Linked DNA regions of Arabidopsis thaliana. The main gene of each other region encodes a partner of the protein of the gene in region 2 in a complex. Each region holds a gene or a part of one and is shown on either strand. Other genes may lie near its edges. The genes, in order: FTSH12, emb2737 and EMB3144. A codon is read from its position in the direction of its gene.

Region 1 (7,828 bases), on a different chromosome or scaffold from region 2:
ATGAAAAACCTTTCTTTTTCTTATGTGCAGTGAAAAGAGAACATAAGTCGATTACAAAGAGTCCAATTCTTTTATACTTTTTCGATTTGGGGTTTGGAGAGAGATATTTCTTGATCCTTCTCCTTTCCTTTTTTTGTTCTTTAACAAAAACAAACAAAAAAAAGTTGAAAAGTTTATTCCAGTTGGTTGAAATTGTTTTGTCACATGTATCTGTTGAATACACATGCATCCCTTTTATAGCTATGCACTGTGTTTGCAAAGATGAAGAATTCTTGACCAGGCAAATAACAGGAAAGGTTTTCTTATGTGAGCATATCATATGGTTTCTCTGAAAATGTTCAACTGCAGATATATATCATCAAATACAGACAGACACAGTACAAAATCCGGCTGGGCCAGGAACATAACTGCGGATATTCTATACCTAAACCAATGATGGGGGGCAAAAGCTCTTTTAAGATGATTTTTTTAGATTGATCAAACCTTTTTGGTTTTCACTATTGAAGAAGTTGGGAACAATCCTGTGGTGTGACAGGATAAGAGTAAAGCTTCTAGCTTCTGTGGAGTGGCGCAGCACGTAAATCAACTGGCTGATAGCTCACTCGATCCTTGTGAGGTAAAAGCTCCTCCTGAAAAGAAAGAACAACTAGTGTCACACACTTAAAATGGGAACTAGAGCTGAGGATTGAGGATCAACAAGAAGATAATATATAGACTACATCATCAGGGTTTATCTGGAATGGCTTCACAAAATCCTCAAACATTAACGGAGAAAGATCCTTCATTTTCTCTTCCACTTCCTACAAAATGAAAGCAATATTTCTTCAGACTGAGAGTATCTAAGCACATAAAAGGTCATAATGAATTGTCATTGAAGTTTCAGAAAGTGTACCAATCCAGTAATCCTTGATTTTTCTAATAACTCTCTGGTGATTAAGTCCAGAATGTGCCTGTTTGCTCTCAGAGCATTCATCGCAAGTTCTTCAGTCTCCTCGATATACTGTCACCAACATTCAAATACCATCTATATGTTCAAGCTCCACATGGGAGAGTTTAAATCAGATTAGGTGTGCTGAGTCGAAGATAAATTACCCTTGTCAACTCACGGGTGAATAGCTCGGATACTTCTACCGACATCTCTGCTGGCATTACATGAGGATGGTCCCACTGATATAACATCACCAAGTTGAAAAGAACGTGAGGAACTACTGAGAATATGTAAGATCAGCAAAAATGGGATAGTATCAGTCTCTGATTAATGGATATACCCGGTATTTTATCAGCTCGCCGTCTGGGTTATCTGGTAAATCCACCATTCCAATCTTTTTTACAAGTTGAGTGAGACCTAATCTCGCACTTTGAGGGCTAATCACCATCTCCCTGGCAATCTGAAAATGTAATGTCAGGTCAAATTTAGAATGGAAGACTAAACATTAATATTACTCAAAACACAAGCACTTTGCAGATATGCAGTTACATAGATGTTATTTTAGCTACCGAGTTGAAGGTTTAATCAGAAGCTGAAAAGCAAGGCACAGTAATTAGTTAAACGAGAAAGGGAGAGTACTTACTTTTGTTATCTTCTCCAGGTCATCTTTTCCTCCATCAGTGACATTATCGCCAAAAACCACACGTTCAGCACAGCGTCCACCATGAGCTACCACCATTTGCATTTTCATATAACCAAACGTGGTATACCCTTGGTCTACCATGTCTTCACGTGGATAGAAAACCGATACAGCAGTTTCCTGTAAGATTCAAGAGAAAAGTTTATTTAATCCATTCTTACACTGTGTTGACTGTTGAGTGTTCAAACACCACTATCATTACAACTGAAAAATATATATTTGAAACAGACCTTGCCACCAGGAAGGAGCTGCGAAAATGCATGCCAGTCAAATCGAGGAAACAAATGAGCCAACACTATATGACCAGCCTCATGAACAGCCAGAAGTCTCTTCTTTTCGTAAGATACCTAATATTACATAAGCTTTAACGGTTAGGGCTTTTTTAGCTGTGGAGCATAGTATGTTTTGAGATAAATAGTACAAAGGATGTCAGTACGAACACTTTGTTCACATTTCTGTTGCTCTTCCTCTGTAAGAAGTACACCCATACCCTCGAGCAATTGTTTATCTAACACATCAACAATGTCTTGTTGATATATGTAAGAACGTCCCTTCCTTACCTGTAAAATTGGATTACGATCAACAACGCTCCTCTAGAAATGGTATAACTAAATTGGGAAATTGAGATCCACATAAGAATATGACATACCGACATTATAGCCGCTTCGTTAACAAGATTCCGGATATCTGCCCCGGAAAAGCCAACCGTTCGAAAAACAAGCTGGATGTGAAAAAGGATATAGTTGTTATGAATGAGCAAACACCTATATCAAACATGTTATTGGGATTGAAAAATAGCAGGAAAACAACTTGCCTTCCCAAAGTCTATATCTTCTGCAAGGTTCTTCCCAGCACTGTGAACTCCAAATATTTGCACCCTTTGCTTTGCATCAGGCAACCCAATATACAGCCGACGGTCAATACGGCCAGAACGGACAAACTCAAGGTCGAGTTCATCAGGTCTATTGGTAGCACAGATAAATATCACAGCTTGTCTCAAAGAAAACCTATCGATACCTGTCTTCTCTTTCCTGCAGGTGGTACAATATTAAGTATGAAAGCCTTGATACAAACCCGATGAAAACATGTACATATCACTAAGATTTATAAACAAGTGCAGATTCTCTTACTCCCCATCGAGTTGCGCAATTAAAGCTTCAAAAGTTGCTCTTCTCCGTGGATCTTTTCTAGCATGTCTACCAGCAATAGCATCTATTTCATCCACAAACACAAAAGCAGGGGCCTGGAGATAGTATATAAAATTAGATCCACAATAATAGTGTGAGTAGAAGACAACTATACCGTATGAGCTTTAAAACACATAACTAAGAACCTTACATTTCGTCTCGCGATTGAAAACATCTCATTGATCTTTGCAGCACCACTTTTTTCACTGTCTGTGAACTCCGCACCAGATGCAAACACAAATGGTAGCCCACTTTCCTTTGCAAGTGTTCGCGCAAAAAGTGTTTTTCCAGTTCCAGGAGGTCCAGAAAGAAGCACACCCTGACTCAAAAATGAAAACAGAGGAGAGTTTGAGCTTAGCTTAGACAGTTAAATGGAATAAACCAATATCCACATGTTAGTTTTTGGGTCAAGATGTAATTTACCCTGACAAAAGCCACATCTTTTTCATAGTATTGCATTGGGTTCCCCATGTAGATCATTAGCTCATCAAGAAGATCCCAGACATCACCGCCTAGTACCACTTCCTTATACATTGATTTTGTCTCACTGACATCTCCAACCGGCTGTATGATAATTAAAACTCATCAATAGAAGTGTGAATATGTGGGAAGAAGGCAACTAAACAAAGAAGTAACGAGGTTAATGGTATACAGTAACGATGATTACCAATATAAAATTTTCTGCATAAGCCATATCAAACAGCTGATTATACTTCTTGTAGAGAAAGCGCTTGGATGTGATAAGGAGAAGCATGGCAGATTCTCTTATAAACCATAAAATTAGTATCCCCGGCAGAAGTGCAATGAAAACTTTCATGAAGTAGTGGATCTGCCTCTTCTGAAGAAGATCCACCTCAACTCCGGCGTTGCAAATAGTCTCAAACAAGTAAGGATCTAAGGGAATGTCAACCTAGAAATAAAAAGGATATGACATGGTGAATGTACATCATTCATTTCCAAATACTTGCAACTATAATTTTTTTACTTACAATATATTCTAGAGGGAAACCTTCTTTCATGGTCACATACAATCTCTTTAGGTCTTCCGTGAAAACAACAGCTGCAACCTGTTATGAACACATACACAGATTATCGTGCCAACATAAGCTAAAAAAAAGATCTATCATCCTATCACGTCCAGCTTCAAATTAATTGCTTTGGAAAAGGAATATATTCATCATATTTTAACTCATAATGAATATACCATCACTTGTTATCATTTAAAAAATTCAACTGGATATAATGACACTTGCCACTCACAATCCCAAAGCCGGACAAGAGTATAGGTTAGAGCTGTACCTCAGAAGAATCAAGCTTCTGAAGGAAGTAGGTATAGGGAAGCTTAGGGCGATATCGCCACCATCTCTTTGATATCCAGAGAGCTCTAGTTCCCTCAGTTTCAGATGTCCTTCCAATAACATCTTCGCGAAGACTTTTCTCTACCTCTTTCATATCAAATTCAACCACATACTTCGCCGCTGAGGAGTTTAACTGTTCTGATAATTTTTCTCGTTCTAACATTTCCTTCCAGGTTGCAAGCCTTTCCCGCCAATTACCTACACTGTCTCCAATTTCACCTATCATAGAAGAATGCAATAGAGGATTAGATGGTCAAAAGCACAGGTTACCAATGATAGTAGATGAGGGATCTAGAAGTGCTGCTCTGAAAGAAACTTGATTAGTGAGATAAGATTAGGTCGTCAAAAACAAAGGTTTCGCACAATAAATCACTTCTTGTTATATCTTCAGCATGCCACTACTAAACAAGTATCACCTAACGAATGTATACTGACCAGAGACACCCAGATCTTGGCTTAGTTTCTTCTTTGCCTCTGTCTGAATCCTAGCATTTCTACCAATTATTTTCTTGAGAGATCCCTCTGTGGTCTCTAGATCGTCATCCCACGCATTTTCTCCAACATAAGAACTATCGTGGACAAGTGTTCCATCAGGCGCTTCAATGAACCTTTTTAATTTCAAGCCTTTAGGTGTTGCTTTCCTCCACATATTTCTCTTGAACCTGAAACACTAGAATAAGTCAGGACATTCTACAAAATCAAATAAACAGAAGTTCTTTTAGTCTTCCCACTCTTGACGCTTTAGATGCCTCATTAGCTGAGTATTTACTTGTTAAAGGATGATACCATAGTTTGAATATGAACCATATTTTACCATGTCCCAGTAGAGAAAATTACAATCGGAAACTGAGGATTAGGAAGCACCTACTTTTCTATATTTCCAGGAGATGGCTCGGGGATCAAAGCCTCCATAAAAGACTCTGTTAACTCTCTTCTCTCTCGTTCTACCCGAGGAGCTTGGATGGCAACATAAACTCTTTGACAAGAAAGTAACAGCGCAAAAGCATATATGAACAAGGCAGCAACTCGTTTACCGTCCCAATTCCTGATGTCCTGATACAATACATCTTCCCTCATTAAGAAACAACCTAATACACTAGTATATGTCGCTAGAATAAGCGTAGTTGTAGTCTCCTCCAAAATTTATGCTTCCGTTAAATCAACAACAAAATAAATAAATACCATACGTTTGTCCCTCAATGTTTTAGAACACAAGCAGAAGTCTAACAATACTTGAGAATCAGAAATTTGATAATTACGTTAAAAAGCTGAACCAGCTTACCTTCCAATGCTCCCACTTGTTCCAATCAATAAACGAAGGCACTGTCTCATTCTTAAAGCGAGTCAGCTCGTGATGGCCCTTGTGCACACTATCCTTAACTCGAGCCACATACTCATTCACTCTCCCACTTGCTTCTTCCGAGTCAAACCCAATTTCTGTCTTCACAGATTCTCCAATCTTCTCCCCAATCCGCTCGGCACCAAGGCGAATAGACTGAGCCAATCTCACCCACGAAAAGCCTCCATCGCTATTAGATGAAGACCCACTACTACTTTCAGACGCATAGACTCGAAAGAGCTGTTTTTTCCGGGTAGCTCCCAGTCCATACTTGGCGGGAAACCGAACAAGACCAAAACTTTTTGATCTTTTCAACAACTGAGTCGATGAAGAGATAAGCGGATTCGGTTTATACGAAATTGCAATCTCCATGAATGAAATCACAAGAAAAAAATTAAAAAGAGAACAAAACCAGACGCATTTGAAGATTTTTCCCGATTAAAGAGCTCTCTCTGAGAAAATTACTGAAGGAAAATGGTGAGTACCAACCATTCAGCTCACTCGACTCTCCGGCAAGACTTACGCTTCTCTCCGGTAAGGAGGTTTATCTACACTGATCCGTCGTTGAGAGTGTCCTAATACTTCGAAGGAGAAAGATGACGCTTAAACTCAAAGAGGCTCGAAGCCTATTAGTTATATAATTGGGCTAGCCCATTAAGGTCCATCAGCCCACTATCCGAAAAATAATATATTTAAACCGTGGAATCCAAGGAGAGACACAGTGGCAAAAAGGGTAATTATAGGGACATTTCTTGGGGTGTTGTCCAAGCTGCTTTTATATAAGGAAGGGATATTGTTCTCTCGCTTCTCGAAAGATCCATTCACCAACTCTTTATACCAGCCTCTGTAACGTTCGATCATCTTGTATTTCATTTCAACCACTCATGTAAGTATATTCTTTCTTCAGATTCCGATTGTTTTCTTCGATTAAGTTTTGAGCTAGATTCTCTAGATCTGTTTCACCGATTTGGTTGATTTCTCCGTCAATCTGAACTCGCGGTGTGCATCTTGTTGTTTGCAGTGTTTTTAGTTTGTTTTACGAAGAATCAACTATGGCGACGAAGAGAAGCGTTGGAACTTTGAAGGAAGCGGATCTGAAGGGAAAGAGTGTGTTCGTGAGGGTTGATCTCAACGTTCCTTTGGATGATAACTCTAACATCACCGATGACACCAGGATTCGTGCCGCTGTTCCCACCATCAAGTACTTGATGGGTAATGGATCTAGGGTTGTTCTCTGCAGTCACTTGGTATGATATCTTATCTCAGTTCTCACTTCACTACTTGCTTATCTGTTGTAATTTTGGTGTGGGAATTTTGATCTGATCTGTTTATCCGGAGAGCCATGCGTATAAGAAGAGTCTCTTTGCATGTTAGGATGTAGATATAGTATTCTTGTTTTTCAATATGTTCATTGACTCTATCGGTTGATTTTCTGGTGTTGTTTGGGTAATTGTTTTAGTAAGTTTACTTGGATATGTTTATACTCAAGTTCAATTGGATGATGCTGTTGAATTAATGGATGTATCTGATCTCAATTTATGTTTCAGGGCCGCCCAAAAGGTGTTACTCCTAAGTACAGCTTAAAGCCTCTTGTGCCCAGATTGTCTGAACTTCTTGGTGTTGAGGTTTGTTCCTCTTCCTCTTCTAGACTTGCAAGGTTTCTGAACATTAGCTTTTAAAAGAACACTGTTCTCACTCTGTTTGTGTTAATAGGTTGTAATGGCAAATGACTCTATTGGTGAGGAAGTCCAGAAGTTGGTTGCAGGACTACCTGAAGGTGGTGTTTTGCTCTTGGAGAATGTGAGGTTCTACGCCGAGGAAGAGAAGAATGATCCTGAATTTGCAAAGAAGCTTGCTGCTCTTGCCGATGTTTACGTTAATGATGCCTTCGGAACTGCTCACAGAGCTCATGCTTCCACTGAGGGAGTTGCCAAATTCTTGAAGCCTTCAGTTGCTGGTTTCCTCATGCAGAAGGTATTTAAAATTTGCAGCATAAAGAGTATCTTCTTAGATGAGTCTCTTTATTTTACTGATCAGACTATTACTTGTTTTATTGTGTCAGGAACTTGATTACCTTGTCGGAGCTGTGGCAAACCCCAAGAAGCCTTTTGCTGCCATTGTTGGAGGCTCAAAGGTTTCAACAAAGATTGGTGTCATTGAGTCTCTCTTGAACACAGTTGACATCCTCCTGCTCGGTGGAGGTATGATTTTTACTTTCTACAAGGCACAAGGACTCTCAGTCGGATCTTCCCTTGTGGAGGAGGACAAGCTTGACTTGGCAAAGTCACTCATGGAGAAAGCAAAGGCCAAAGGTGT
Region 2 (6,001 bases):
AATTATTTCGTAATATCTCGAGAAGTTTCTCAATCTTTATCGTTGCGGGTCTAAAGTTCAAATGCTTATATAATTCAACGTCCAAATAAATGCGATCTACGTATTCCCATTTATGGTGTAAGAATAAAACAGTCCAAAAAATGAAAACAAGTAAAGGACTAATTGCAAATTTGCAATGTAGGATTTGAACGGACCACAATACGAGTTTATACACGACTTTGTAATAAAATGAAACACTTATTAAATTCTTTTACCTGCTCCACGTACGTGAAGGTCAACATGTGATTTCCTAAAAAAACGATAAAACCAAATGCTAAAACCTTGAAGTAACTATTGTCTATTGATAACAAGAGCTTGATATATCTAATACTTCTCAATTGAACAATACCAATTTGATAAATTCCAAAAAAATAAAAAAATTTGATAAGTTCCATTTGTCAATTAAGTTTAAGTTCTATCCAAAATGATGTCGATAGATATTTAATTAAAAAAAGGGTAAAGATCTTTCGTAATACCATAACATGAAAGACACACGTAACTTGTTGAAATGTGACGGTGAGACACGAGGAATTATAGAGAGAGTGATTGATAGGAGAAAGACGAAAACTAAGTTCAAAGCATGAAAGAAAGATCATCGTATACACGTGGCGGTACACAACGAATCTGCCAAGTGTCTGCAAAAACAACATTTCTTTTAAAACATTACAACTGATTTTGAAGTGTAATCATATTTGACACCCATCAAGATTCATATCAAAGCATATTTTCATCAAAGAAGCACAAAAAAACTCAATTCAAAATCCATTTTATATAGATTCGTTTCGACACACTTGGCAGGTTAGAAGAACCACCACTTCCTTTGCCGGCTTCCCTGTGTAATAAACATATAAATCAACATGTGATCTTAGGTTCTATTTTCAGGCAAAGAGCTTCTTGTATGATCTAATTTGGAACCTTATTTAGTGTGTAAGAGAGAATGATATCAAGTAGGCTTATTCTTGTAACCAATTCAATTGATACCTTTTGAGCTTTCTTCTGTGACTTTAACAAGATGGGTTGTGGAAGAACAGCCATGCTTGAGTCTTGGATGTAAGGTCTCACTTTCTGCTCCAACATTTCCTCCACCTACAAATCAAAAAGATAAACGGTATGCATTGGAGTCGTGAATGTGATATGAATACCGAATTGTGTAAAAAAGTTCCTTGATTAACCTTCTCTTGACGCCATTTAGCTTCCCATTGTGCATCCAAGATTTTGTCTGCGATTTCTCTTTGAGCATTGAGAAGAACTGTCTTCTCGTACAGTTTTGCCGGGTTTTTGAGATCCTCTTCACTCCAAGAGGAAATATTCAATGGGAGATTCAGTTCCTGTACATGTTCAGCAGTTAGTTCTTAACTATACCCGTGGTCTCAGGAACTGTGATGCTAAAACCAAAAAGAAGAAGAAAGCTTACACCCCAATTCTGAGGACGGGGAGGTGGATTGAGTTTCGTGACTTCAGCCTCCAGAGATTTCTTAGCCTTGTAATAAGGGACATTCTTCACTATGACGGGGTCTTCCCGAGCACGGACAGGATCAATGGAGACCAAGGCCTGTAAAACCATGACAACTATATGGTGATTGCTAAACTTCTTCAGCTAACATATTCCAATGTAGTTCCCCAGATTTGCCTAAACTTTAAAACCACAAATAGGCGATCTTACATCCTGCAAATATTCCCAGCCAGGATTGCGTTTAGCCACCAAGTCCCGAAGTTGATCATATCGCATAGATTCCTGATCACAGAAGACATAAATAGTTAAACTCTCATTGATGCTTAAAGCTGAAGTATTCAACAACAATAGTTCCTATTGAACAGAAAATTCTATGCAATACAGATCCCTGAGTACATCAGTATCCCACAAATGTCTCCAATTCCATAGCACAAACCTATCCAGATATGGAATCGAAACTATGTTGGTGTAGCAAAACCATCCCAAATGAGGATTAAGAAGATTCAACTATCAGGTAATTGTAGACTAAACCTTTTACGGTATGCATGCTTTAAGCCTCTAGAAGACCATAACCTCAAAAGTGAAGCCTGGCAAATAACTCATGCTGAAGGAGATCTACATATGTAGAAAGAGATACTAACCTCATATTGCCACCATATTTTCTTCTTGACATCTTCATCATAATCAAACCCACCCACAATCTGAGGCAAAGTGATCAACCAGAAATTTGCAATGCTGGGATCTTTCATGCTGTGAACAATGTGCTGAAATAGAAAATATGACTCATAAGACGGTAAAGATGTAGTAAACATAGCAAGCTGTTGGGTTGATAAATAGACTTTGTGGTGCTCACCTCGTACGGATAATCCATCTTCTTCAGCACATTATAGGCTTTCCATGGAGGTTCCATGATCTGCAAAATGAATCGTCAGTAAAGGTATTTAGCAAGTGATAGTTTTGTTCAAAACCAAACTACCTCTCCATGTGCATTTCATTTCTAATAACTAGTATATATACATCCCACAGGGGATTTATGTAGATGTTAAGCTGAGAAGACGTAATAGCAGACTCAAAACATACATCATCAGCTGAGATTCTGACTTGCAGCTTGTTCTTGCACTCAGTACAGCTCATCGCACCCTTCAATATCAATAGATGTTCCATCAAATTTCTAAGCATACACTGATGAAAAACAGCCTATCGCGATCACTCTTAACACAAACAAGCACCTTTTTACGTGGATATGAAATTAGCATAGTTGACAATTTGGAGATATAAACCAAATCAGTATCAAATATAGCAGTGCAAATACATTTACAGAAGCCTAGAGCATTAAGAGCGAGATTAAAAAGCTTACCGTTCCATCACAAGTTGGGCAGTCTTTTGATGGCAATGGAGCACTATGGTTGAAGGAGGAGGGAAGATGAACTAACTCAGCTCGATTCTCAACTATAGCATCTGCGACACAATCTGCTGTTGGTTTCTCTCCACTACAAGTAAAGACAGAAAGGATAAATCTTTAAATCCTTTTATCTGTTAGAATATCACTAGGATAGCTTAAGCATTGCCAAATGGAACTGTCGACATTAATATACAGAGAACACAAAGAGACCGTCAGAATAAAGTGGATCTATTCATGAAGCCTAGTAGTTTAAGCGATATAACTTGGGTTAAACAAGAGATAATCCCACCTTCTCAAGTTGTAATCTTTGATTTGGTAATGAACACTCCCTGTTCCTTTGCACATAGTGCACCGTAATGCCTGCCACCCATTACAAGTTTTGCAATCCCTGACCAACAAAAAATGTTTTCATCTCATCGGATGAACTCAAACAGTAGAACCAAAAACATAGCGAGGAAGTGTGAGAACTGAGGTTTCTCAAAAATTCTCTGACCCAGAATAAAGCATCAAATCTTGAAGCTGACCTTTGGCATATGACTTTCTTTCCCAAATCCAATGCAATGTCATAAGTTCCAAGCGTAGCAACCGCCTGCAATCAATGGAACTCCAATGATAAAAAGATTCCATATAGAACAAGTAAAACATGCATTTTCCAGTTTCCTAAACTGATTTTGATCTTACAAAACTTCGACTTAGAAATCAAGTTGACAAACTCAGACAGAAATTCAGCACAATATAGGCACACTCAAATTAAAGCTCAAAACTTTAGCAAACATTCGAAGCGTAATTTCCCCGGAAACATCAGCTACCAAAAACCCAGAAAGAAAATGATAGTTTCAAGCTAGAAACTCAGCAAAAACCAACAAAAGTTTCAACCTTTAAGACAACTACATGTCAAGTTCTAAACCCAGAACCATATAAGTTTCAGGAGAAACCAACTCACAAAAACAGAGAGATACGAAATTTTGGAGATGAACTCAGGGATGCCAAAACCACGAGGTGCAGAGCCAGCGATATCAAAGGCGAGAGTGAAAGGAGACAAGACGAGCTTGATTGGAAAATCGAGAATGTCTATAACTTGTTGTCCATAACGAGTAGAGAATTGTTTGAATTGAGCATCAGCGAACTGTGTCACGTTCTGTATTAAACGACCTGGTCCTCTCGACATTGGAGAAGATGAAGAAGATAAGAGCTTTTCTCGCTCTCTGGTATTTTTGAAGAGGAGGTTTCAAGAGTGGTTTTTACACTATTCTTATCTCGGTTTTGGATTAGACTTATTCTTTGTTACCAAACATGTACCTTCTAATTAGACTACGTGTCGTTTCTTTGTAAGAAAAACGACAAGGAGTTTAATTTGAGAAATCCCCAAATCGAGCGTCTTTTCTATATTTGCGGCGATGACGGCGAAGATACGGCGGAGGAAGCGCCGTGGTATAGAAAAAAAATATTGAAATTTGCTATGAAAGTTTTTTTTTTTTTTTATGTTTGTTCTAACTCTAAAGCAAGAAACATGCTGTACTTAAAAATGCAAACTTTACGAAACTTTGGACCTTTAGATTAAATAAAAATTAAGGGAAATTGTAAAAAGGAATCATATTCTGAAAGCAGCCAAAGGAAAGCTCGCCAGATAAACCTGCGTTTCATTCCCCTACAAAGCTCTAATCTTTCAATCTCTATACCTCTTTCTCTATCTCTGAGAATCTATGGCGGTGGCTGCAGCGGCGATGATCGGGTTGCCACAGGCGTATCTGGAAGGGAAGGAGGTGAAGGAGACGAGTTCGTTGGTTACTGAACTCTGCCGTCACTTTTATACTCAAGGTTGGGTGTCTGGCACTGGCGGTAGCATAACGATGAAAGTTCATGATGCTTCGATTCCTAAACCGGAGCAACTTATCGTCATGTCTCCTTCAGGTTCTCTACATCTTAAAGTCACTTTCTTTCTCCTTGATTCTCATTTTGATGCATCTTTGAACTGATGTATGTGTCGTTGCTCTGTTGAGTTGATGTGTTTGTTCTCGTGGACCTTTAATTTGCTATATGAGCTATGCGTAATGCGTTTATCAGTTAAAGTTTCTGTTTCTAGAGATCATCTTTGTGTATTTAAAATCACTGGTAACACTCTTTTTGTGGAGAATTGGTTTGGTCTTTCAATGCTTAGAAGCGTTCTCTTTGTGTATTTGAATCATTAGCGACTTAACAATGCAAGATGTTGAATGGAAAGGAAAATCTTGCAATGCTGATTCTATGTGTTATTTTATTTGCTTCACGGTTTACTGATTCTTGTTGTGTTTGAAGGTGTTCAAAAGGAGAGGATGCAACCTGAGGATATGTACATCTTATCTGCTAATGGATCCATCATATCTACACCCTCTCCAAAGCCATACCCAAATAAGCCTCCCAAGTGTACCGATTGTGCTCCACTTTTCATGAAGGTATGGTTTTGTCGCTTTCAAGGTAGTAATACTTGATTCTGCGTTAGGGATTTCTGTATACGTAGCTTGATTATCACTTTGCTATTGGCCTTCTTTATCTTATGGTATTTTCTTTGATGATTGTGCATTTTTTGTTTTCTCAAATTGTTGAGCAATGTTGGATTTCGTCAAAGTGTTGAGCAGCAGTTACGGATTTCAAGTTATAATGTTTTCTGTTAAGAAGGATTTTTCTTAGAGCACATGGTTATGAACGAAATATGTTAAGAGCTCGTCGCTCTTTTCTAGTGGTATTTTGTCCTTCCTCCCATTTAGCTAGTGATCTTTTACTGGAATGGCAAATACGTTGTTTGCTAATGACTGTTGGATTACAATCCAAAAAAAAGTGCAGAACAGGCGACTTTCTTTGGGGAAACGCTTGCGAAAACTCGGTTACAAGGTAAAACTTGTCCAATTTGAGCAATAATCCCCTCGTTGGATGTGTCAAGTGGGTTTCTTCGACCCATAGAATACCCACTAGGTTGCACTGGTTGAGATGGATTCAGTAGTGAAGTGTTAGAACTAAACACAATGGGCTCAGAAAAATGAATTGATATTTAGAGCGTATTGATGTTTACACAAACACTCTTGAAAATGGAGTTTTGGTTGTAACTTCTCTTTACTTATTAAAGAACCACC
Region 3 (7,207 bases), 4.0 Mb from region 2:
GTTATTGTACAGGGCATGTGACTTTTTAGACATCCCTATTATTTATAGTTAGAGCAGGTGAGGCGAGGATCGATGAAGACATAACTACTGTCAATTATTGTAATTGTTCACATTTCTCAAACCCCAAAATATTCTTAATATAAAATAGAAGAGGCATGTCCCATAATCCCATTATATATGTAACCTTGTATATATTCATCATCATTATTTTATTTTGAAAAAAGATTTTGTTCATAATTATCAAAACTGGATAAGATATTCGGTTATGTGTATGTATCCGATCGTCATGAAAATAACATGTTAGCATTAAGGCTATGTAATTATGTGCAAACCTGCCACGAATAAAAAATAAGTTATACACTAAGTAATAAAGGAACTTCAATAACACCATTAGTGGCGTCACTCCAAGCGTTGGTTGCACAGTCTAATGTATGACATTAAGATGCTTTTTAATTTGGTTTCTTGCAGATATGTATAGATTGAATCTCAAATAAAAAATGTAGAAGCTGAAAAAAAGAAGAAGGAAAATATCACATGCAAAGATTATAGTATTGACGATATCGACCTGCGACTTTATTGTCGCCATTGGTTAGGTGTTCAAATTGCAAATGTATTTCAACATTTCTATGATTGTTAATATAGATAATGATATCCAAATTGGTCATGAAAAAAGCAATCTGATTTTGAAAAAAGTGAGATGAGATTGTATCTACTTTCTTTTTTTTGTTTTGGCCCATGCCCTACACAGCCAAGCAAATTTGCATCAATTAAATAAAAATAACAAAATATTTTATAAAAATGATCACATTTGACATTTTTCTCAGCAAATAAACTAGTGTGATTCCACTAACACTCTTTTCTACAGATCTCTATGTTTTACATGATACATAATAATCTCTAAAGTTTCACCTGGAGAGCTTTGTTCATTTGATGTTCTTGAGACCGCAAAACTGAACTGAAAAACAAAAAAAAAACAGTAACAAATCAGCAATTCATGTTAGCATTTCTGGACACTGCTGGCTGGTTATTGATGTTTAACAAAACCGTGAATCTGAGAAACTTACAAATGATTTTAAAAGAAATGGGTTGCCATCAAAATCTGAGGTTTCTTCTTTTCTTCTTCAATTTGAATAACAGCTTCTGCTTTGATTTCTTCAACCTTTTTATCCCAAATCTCATCCACTAGTTTCCATGTGTCATCGCTGATGATTTGTGTCTGCATCAAACATAGCACAAGAGTATTATATAAGAGAAGAAAAAAGTTTAATCTTGTTATGATCTATGAGTGGTTTGTTTCTACTACATACCTCCATGGGACGAGGAGCTCCAAATGTTGCAAAACCAATGTTTCCTGGTGAAAATGTTACTCTTCCAGGAAGCGATACACCGTGAATTCCCCATCTTCCCGCATAGATTAAAGCTCCATACTCATCGACAGGTCTCACGGGTTTCTGTTTTCATGAATCAAAGGATCTGGAAAAACCGGAAAAAAAATCAATACAGAGAGATAAGATTGAGAAAGATAACTAACTTGAGGAATCCTTGGAGCTGTGTTGTAAATGTTCCAGATTTCATCGGCTTTGATTTCTCCTTTCTCAAGAAGCACATCTGAAAATATTATTACACTCTTTAAGATTGTTGAGTGTATGGTGATATCTGCCATTGCAATGACGAAGCAGAGAGGATATGATATTATTCTAAACCTGTGATTTCTTCAAGGGCTGATTGATACTCTTGTAAGATTGATGAGCATTTCTCAACAGCAAACCTCATGTACTCATCGCGTAATGCCTCAAGTTTCGGAACAAGCTATACACGAAGGAGAATCGAAATTGGTGTTTCTGAGATTCTCAAGAGCTAAAAATAAAGAGGTAACAAGTACATATATAAAACTTACATTAGGAACGAGGTCTCTTTGGTTTCGGTAATAAGCTTTTCCAAAAGCAGTCATTCCCGTCTGAAGAATCAGAAATTCCGCTCGCTGTGAAGCTTCTAAAGTAGACTTAGCAGAGATCCAACACAGGTTTTCTATTCCAAACATCTCTTCTTCAACTACTCTAGCTATACGACACAAACAAGGGGATGAAGTAAGCGACAGAGATTTTTGTGATCTATAACGAAAAAGAGAAAGTGTTGACAAGTTTGGCTTTGCAACTTACGAGCACATGCACGGATTATTGAGTTCACATAATCTGACTTTCTCGCAAAAACTCTTCCTGAAGTTTCAGAGTAACGCATATTTGGTTGGCTTCTAATCGAGTTTATGTCAGTCTGCAGAGAGAAGCACATGATACAAAAAATGGTCTTAGTAATGCTATAATTCAAAATAACACATGAAGGAAACTGCACTCAAGTTTCTTAATAAACCTCGCTGATTGGACGATATTGATCTGGGAGATAACAAGCAAGAACAGCAACAGCTGCTTCTCGGTAAGCCAATCTCAACTTCAGTTCCTCTGGAACTTCAGTACTATCTTCTTGTCCAGTCTCAAATGTCCCTTTTTGCTGTAAGGAGTGGAATCAGAATTTGCTAAAGCAGCACCTAAGCATGGATAAACTGGATATCAAACACTAGTTACCCGCTTAAGCGCCTCAAGGAGTTCTTCTCTTCCAATGTAATCCAAATCTTTTCTAGCTGTCAAGATTCCAGCTTCATTTCTGTAAACAATTAACCAAAGATCAGTGTTTTCTGTTTTTTTCCCTCTGCATCTAAATACATAGTTGAAGCTGTAGCATTGTATATTACAGAACGTTTTGCAGTTCTGCTCCGGTAAAATCTTCCGTGTTCTCAGCTACTTCTTGCAGCAACTCCTCCTTCTCATCCTCAGATCGAAAGAATTTATTTCTAGCATGTACCTTTAGTTACAAACAGAACTTTTCGTTAAAGCACAAAGCCAACCAAAACTCGTCATATCCAGAAAAGTAAAATTAATTACCTTTAATATCGCCAATCTACCATCTTTTGACGGTAAACCAACTCTTATGATTTTGTCAAAACGACCTTTTCTCAATAGAGCAGGATCAAGGATATCTAATCTATTTGTTGCACCTATGACTAATACCTGACAAAATCCATGATTACTAGCAAGTATTGTTTATTGAAAAAAAACTATATAGCAAAGGGAAACATTACTTGTGATGTAGTAACTTTAAATCCATCCATCTCAGTCAATATTTGAAGCAAACCTTGTTCTCTCTCTGCTCCTCCCTATTCAGTGAGTAACACATTTCTAAAGAAAGTTAAATCTCTTATACTAAAATCTAATTTCCGGAACAAGAAAGCATTGCATTCTTACCCCGCCAATATCGGGTCCACCTCGCTTACTTCCAATTGCATCAATCTCATCAATGAAGATTATAGATGGCGCATATGACCGAGAGCTAGCAAAAAGATCTTTAACACGAGATGCAGCCACTCCTACAAACATCTGAGAGATTTAAACAAAAACAGGAAAACTCCATTAACTCAAGACCTTAAAAAACCAAGATATTTAGCACTGTTATTCATGTTGACACAATCAATCACTCACCTCAACAAAGTCGGTTCCATTTGCCGCGAAGAAAGGTAAACCAGCTTCTCCAGCAATAGCTTTGGCTAACAAAGTTTTCCCCGTTCCGGGAGGTCCATGAAGCAGAACACCTTTCGGACAATAAATGCCTTTATTCTGAAATTCCTCATCATTCTTTAAAATTCGCACAATTTCTTGTAATTCCCTCTTTATATACTCCTGACCCGCAAAATCATCAAAAGTAACACCAGTTTTCTCCTCTGCTGATATAAATTTTGCCCTTACAGAGAGAACCAAACATAAACTTAGATCCAACAAACTTGAGCAGAAGAGGTCAATATCAAAGGAAGTCGAGCATTTCTAAACATACCGACTCTTGCCTAGGGAACCGAGTGCTTGGCGCTTGAGGGGCTGCCTTATCTTTTTGGTAGGGGTTCCGAGATCACAAGGGATTAGTTTGGCATAGATTGGCCTCGTGATACTGTCGATCCAAACATAAAGCGAAACAAAGAGGGCAAGTCTCATAGACCAAACCACAAAAGTGGCAACTGTAGTATAGACTTCAGCTGGAACCACATCTACATTGAAAACCTCTACGTTTACTATCTGCTGATGCAACTTCTTCCATACATCATTCCAACCATCAATTGGCATTCGGTCCACAATGTGACGACGGAAAATTATCTCCTTTTTCGAATCTTCTTCTTCTCCTAGGGGCTCCCCATCTTTATAATAAGGCAATATCACTGCAACAACAACAAAACTTAGGCAAAAGATTTCAAGAACACCATGTCTAGATTTCAAGCAGTTAGATGCAATGTATCGAAACTTTTTGAAACTTCTCACCTGATATCGTCTGTCCGTAATTTGAATATTCCATGTATTGAACACTGTTGGAATCTAAGAGCTTCATAAAATCACTAAAATTGATACGGTGAGAGGTTTCAGGATCCCATTCTGTTCCTTTTAACTTGCCACGCATGGTTAACAATGTTCTACTCCAATCTGATGCCATAACAAGCTGCCTTTCTAATTGTACATTAGCCTTTCTCTCGAGCTCTTCCATGTTGCTAAGTCGTTCTCTTTCAGTTTCTCGTAACTTCTACAAAAACCAAAAGATAAAACGAATTAAAGCTTTGAAAACTCCATTAAACAAAATGAGGAATAAGTATATCAATTAAGCTACAACCAAAAAATGTTTCAAGTATTGAATGCAAACATAACCTCTTCAACAGAAACTACACAAGTATACGATCAAAGTCCGAAACTGAGTATCACTTATTAGCTTGCAAGTTCTTCACTTTGCATTCTAGAAACGAAAGCCCTAGAATTGGATAATTCTAGCTATAATTTGAAATAGAGATAAACCTCAAATAGACGATTGGACTCAGCATCTTCTTCCTGTGAAACTGAAGACTCAGTAGACTCAAAGCTCGATGTACTGCAACAAGTAATCAAACCATTTCTTCGTGAAGGAAAAAGATTGAATTTGGAGCTTAATTTAGCTTCCGTTGGTTTTCTTCGACGGACGAAACTAGACAGAGAACCTCGAAATTGACTGGGGAAGAGGGTATTAGAAGGGTTTAAGGGTTTCGAGAAATGGGTTGGAGTTAACGAGCTCGAGATATAAAACGTCATTGTTCAGTCATTAGATTAGAGCTGGGAAAAATTTCCCCTCGATTTCTAAGTGCAAAGAGAAACGATAGCAACAAACTTTCTAGAGGTGAAATTTGAAGCTGGTGGGTTCTTCACGAAGATTGAAAAAGACGATCGAAACGGTGCGTTTTTAACAGTTTCTCAAACGCGCCGTTTTAAGAGATTACCGGTTCTATTGTAACCGGACATCACCGGTTGACTTTCAAATGTGCTAATTATGAAGATACCGAACCGGTGAAGCTCTTTCTCAATCCATAAAGGAAACTCTTTCAATATGTATCATTATATATTCTGGTTCATTCTCTAGTCAACTAAGAGACATTTGCTCTGTATGTATGATATAGATGATGTGTACACAATTGTAAAAGACGTCGATAAGGTTGAACATGGATCATATGACAAAACCTCTTCCATGCTTTGGTTGTGGAATCGGATGGTTCCGTGTTAAAAGCAAAAGAAAAGGGGACTTTTTGTCTCGGTAATTTTGTTTTTTGCTTGGTCATGCATCAGTTTCACAACATGTTCTCTCTATTAATTAGGATGATTCCAAAAGAATCAAAAACTTATGACCTTTTTGCTAAACTTTCAAATTGGTTAATGGTTAAGAGGAAAGCATTGGTTACGACTTAGGAGTTTTAAACAAAACAGGGAAAGCAAAATAGATAGATGCAAAGTAATACTCAAAGATCCGAGTTATTATGCATACCAGATAGAAAAGACATAAAAACAACCAGAAACCTTTGAATAAAAGAGTCAAATGCGATCTTAGGCAGAGCCAGACCGAGTAGAAGAAGGCTACAAGGATCTTTGCACGCAGAGAAGTTGGAGACCCATAAAAAGCAACACAATCATTTCAAACTCGACCCGTTCAGCAGCTTAGCATTCAACGCTAGCTCAGCGTTCCGTGCAGCTGATAAGCTTGACCAAAGCCATTTTGTAGGTACAGCTTTAAGTAGCTGTTGTGATGCGTTTTGAGGCTGTGCTAAGAAAACAGTGAAATTTAGACATCTCATAAGGTGAGCAGCCAATTCGAACTCACTGTGACCCGAGAGGTCTCCCACGATGAGCATCAAGTTATCTATTTCAGGATTGCCAATTGCGCAGCAAAGAAAGTCTACAATAATCTTCTCAAGTCTGGCATCTTTATCCCCGAGTGGCCTGAGATGTCTCCCAGGATCAGCACAAATTTTGTTTGGGAAGGTGATCTGATTGCCCGGCAAAGAAATTCCACTAAAATCTTGCTCTGTCTGGTACGTCTGTCTCCTGAAACCATATTATCAACTCAGGATCAACAACAAGATACATACCTATATATATATGTAAAAGATAGAGAGAGTGTGTGTAATTGACCTAAAGGGGAGCACATCATCCCGATTCCAGCGTGTTTCGTGGCCAGAGAGTAATCACCAAAACCGGTGATTTCGCACCTTCCAAGATACTCACCATTATTCGCAAGGGCCATTCTCATGTTCCGCCAAACAGCCTCAGCAGTGAGACCATCAGGGACCGGGCAATCCTCGACATCCCAAAAGAAGACTGTACTATGCCCTCCTCCTAGGTTTTACCATATTACAAAACTGATTAGATCGACTAACTTGCTATGAAAGATCGATCACATCAAATTCCAAACTGCATCACAACAGATCTAACGCTTTCAAGGACAAGGAGATTACAATTTCCAGAGAAAACATATATATCTTACCGCTGAACTTAGGCATCGTTTTGGATCGGTCGAGAAAACTAGATGCTTGCTTGCTGAAGATTAAAGAGAGAACAAGGTTGGCGCTAATCTTCTTCTTTTTATGTTTCTCGGTAGCGGTGTCAAGTGGGCCACAAACCTACGGGCTTGGCCCAATAAATGGGTTGTTGATGTCTGCAAATCTTAGTAAAACGGTAATATTCCGAGTATGATGTCTAGGGAAGACAAATTTCAAATCCATGAACAGAATCTAATCCAAATAAATTTAGCCATCTTAAATCTTAATCATACTACGTATATTGTTCCTAATATATGTAAATCTCCAAAGACGTAAAAAAAGATA

The links.
Region 1: the proteins of emb2737 (region 2) and FTSH12 are in contact, whole or in part, in a cryo-EM structure (PDB 8XKU), measured with the Arabidopsis thaliana proteins. Residues at the interface, in NP_001032071.1 of Arabidopsis thaliana: Thr82, Ile85, Ala86, Leu89, Lys92, Ser160, Ala161, Pro162, Leu163, Pro164, Ser165, Lys166, Ile195, Met196, Glu197, Pro198, Pro199, Ala202, Val205, Leu206, Met209, Tyr211, Pro212, His215, Ser224, Ile225, Phe228, Thr232, Leu233, Ile236; in NP_565212.1 of Arabidopsis thaliana: Lys126 (codon at 5,509), Asn127 (codon at 5,506), Pro131 (codon at 5,494), Ile134 (codon at 5,485), Asn137 (codon at 5,476), Lys138 (codon at 5,473), Trp139 (codon at 5,470), Trp142 (codon at 5,461), Leu156 (codon at 5,190), Ala160 (codon at 5,178), Phe161 (codon at 5,175), Leu163 (codon at 5,169), Leu164 (codon at 5,166), Cys167 (codon at 5,157), Gln168 (codon at 5,154), Tyr171 (codon at 5,145), Met323 (codon at 4,267), Glu327 (codon at 4,255), Leu330 (codon at 4,246), Val334 (codon at 4,234), Ile335 (codon at 4,231), Glu381 (codon at 3,861), Asp382 (codon at 3,858), Leu383 (codon at 3,855), Leu404 (codon at 3,713), Pro406 (codon at 3,707), Tyr407 (codon at 3,704), Phe409 (codon at 3,698), Glu410 (codon at 3,695), Cys413 (codon at 3,686).
Region 3: the proteins of emb2737 (region 2) and EMB3144 are in contact, whole or in part, in a cryo-EM structure (PDB 8XKV), measured with the Arabidopsis thaliana proteins. Residues at the interface, in NP_001032071.1 of Arabidopsis thaliana: Pro63, Glu64, Ser67, Ser70, Tyr71, Ser73, Val74, Val77, Ala78, Leu80, Gly81, Asp84, Ile85, Asp88, Lys92, Cys102, Asn103, Trp105, Gln106, Ala107, Leu108, Arg109, Lys114, Gly115, Thr116, Gly117, Gly173, Thr174, Gly175, Ala176; in NP_201263.2 of Arabidopsis thaliana: Asn149 (codon at 4,437), Phe150 (codon at 4,434), Ser151 (codon at 4,431), Met154 (codon at 4,422), Tyr170 (codon at 4,374), Gly171 (codon at 4,371), Gln172 (codon at 4,368), Arg206 (codon at 4,166), Met207 (codon at 4,163), Pro208 (codon at 4,160), Ile209 (codon at 4,157), Asp210 (codon at 4,154), Gly211 (codon at 4,151), Asn213 (codon at 4,145), Asp214 (codon at 4,142), Asp232 (codon at 4,088), Val233 (codon at 4,085), Val234 (codon at 4,082), Glu237 (codon at 4,073), Thr240 (codon at 4,064), Thr241 (codon at 4,061), Thr244 (codon at 4,052), Phe245 (codon at 4,049), Trp248 (codon at 4,040), Leu252 (codon at 4,028), Phe255 (codon at 4,019), Val256 (codon at 4,016), Tyr259 (codon at 4,007), Asp263 (codon at 3,995), Thr266 (codon at 3,986).

The regions. Positions count from the first base shown.
Region 1 is NC_003070.9:29,925,032-29,932,859, reverse strand, and holds FTSH12 (FTSH protease 12), read right to left. Parts: upstream 6,102-7,828; 5' UTR 5,885-6,101; coding exon 5,456-5,884; intron 5,227-5,455; coding exon 5,042-5,226; intron 4,836-5,041; coding exon 4,609-4,835; intron 4,413-4,608; exon of another isoform or gene 4,393-4,412; coding exon 4,115-4,392; intron 3,883-4,114; coding exon 3,805-3,882; intron 3,726-3,804; coding exon 3,483-3,725; intron 3,380-3,482; coding exon 3,239-3,379; intron 3,135-3,238; coding exon 2,967-3,134; intron 2,872-2,966; coding exon 2,759-2,871; intron 2,660-2,758; coding exon 2,443-2,659; intron 2,350-2,442; coding exon 2,278-2,349; intron 2,189-2,277; coding exon 2,069-2,188; intron 1,976-2,068; coding exon 1,859-1,975; intron 1,749-1,858; coding exon 1,572-1,748; intron 1,389-1,571; coding exon 1,269-1,388; intron 1,168-1,268; coding exon 1,093-1,167; intron 1,001-1,092; coding exon 893-1,000; coding exon of another isoform or gene 869-892; exon of another isoform or gene 834-868; intron 801-833; coding exon 720-800; and 5 more. Other genes in the region: AT1G79570 (kinase superfamily with octicosapeptide/Phox/Bem1p domain-containing protein), read left to right, coding at 1-4; PGK (phosphoglycerate kinase), read left to right, coding at 6,565-6,759, 7,060-7,137, 7,226-7,486, 7,575-7,828. UniProt on the Arabidopsis thaliana protein: Probable ATP-dependent zinc metallopeptidase.
Region 2 is NC_003076.8:21,863,414-21,869,414, reverse strand, and holds emb2737 (embryo defective 2737), read right to left. Parts: upstream 4,148-6,001; 5' UTR 4,063-4,147; coding exon 3,838-4,062; coding exon of another isoform or gene 3,809-3,837; intron 3,484-3,808; coding exon 3,419-3,483; coding exon of another isoform or gene 3,388-3,418; intron 3,283-3,387; coding exon 3,184-3,282; intron 2,983-3,183; coding exon 2,850-2,982; intron 2,633-2,849; coding exon 2,573-2,632; intron 2,406-2,572; coding exon 2,346-2,405; intron 2,257-2,345; coding exon 2,134-2,256; intron 2,000-2,133; coding exon 1,889-1,999; intron 1,775-1,888; coding exon 1,703-1,774; intron 1,592-1,702; coding exon 1,454-1,591; intron 1,368-1,453; coding exon 1,212-1,367; intron 1,126-1,211; coding exon 1,021-1,125; intron 872-1,020; coding exon 839-871; 3' UTR 573-838; downstream 1-572. Other genes in the region: AT5G53850 (haloacid dehalogenase-like hydrolase family protein), read left to right, coding at 4,598-4,805, 5,190-5,326, 5,715-5,762.
Region 3 is NC_003076.8:25,816,319-25,823,525, forward strand, and holds EMB3144 (AAA-type ATPase family protein), read right to left. Parts: upstream 5,250-7,207; 5' UTR 5,148-5,249; coding exon 4,878-5,147; intron 4,612-4,877; coding exon 4,356-4,611; intron 4,256-4,355; coding exon 3,880-4,255; intron 3,790-3,879; coding exon 3,531-3,789; intron 3,429-3,530; coding exon 3,297-3,428; intron 3,209-3,296; coding exon 3,134-3,208; intron 3,063-3,133; coding exon 2,937-3,062; intron 2,857-2,936; coding exon 2,747-2,856; intron 2,659-2,746; coding exon 2,580-2,658; intron 2,506-2,579; coding exon 2,368-2,505; intron 2,272-2,367; coding exon 2,160-2,271; intron 2,062-2,159; coding exon 1,898-2,061; intron 1,810-1,897; coding exon 1,704-1,809; intron 1,609-1,703; coding exon 1,532-1,608; intron 1,452-1,531; coding exon 1,308-1,451; intron 1,217-1,307; coding exon 1,073-1,216; 3' UTR 1,065-1,072; intron 956-1,064; 3' UTR 600-955; downstream 1-599. Other genes in the region: AT5G64590 (NYN domain protein), read right to left, coding at 6,014-6,147, 6,205-6,428, 6,473-6,719, 6,868-6,883. UniProt on the Arabidopsis thaliana protein: Functions in chloroplast biogenesis and chloroplast division. Required for plastid development during embryogenesis. Might be involved in chaperone functions or play a structural role in the thylakoid FtsH complex.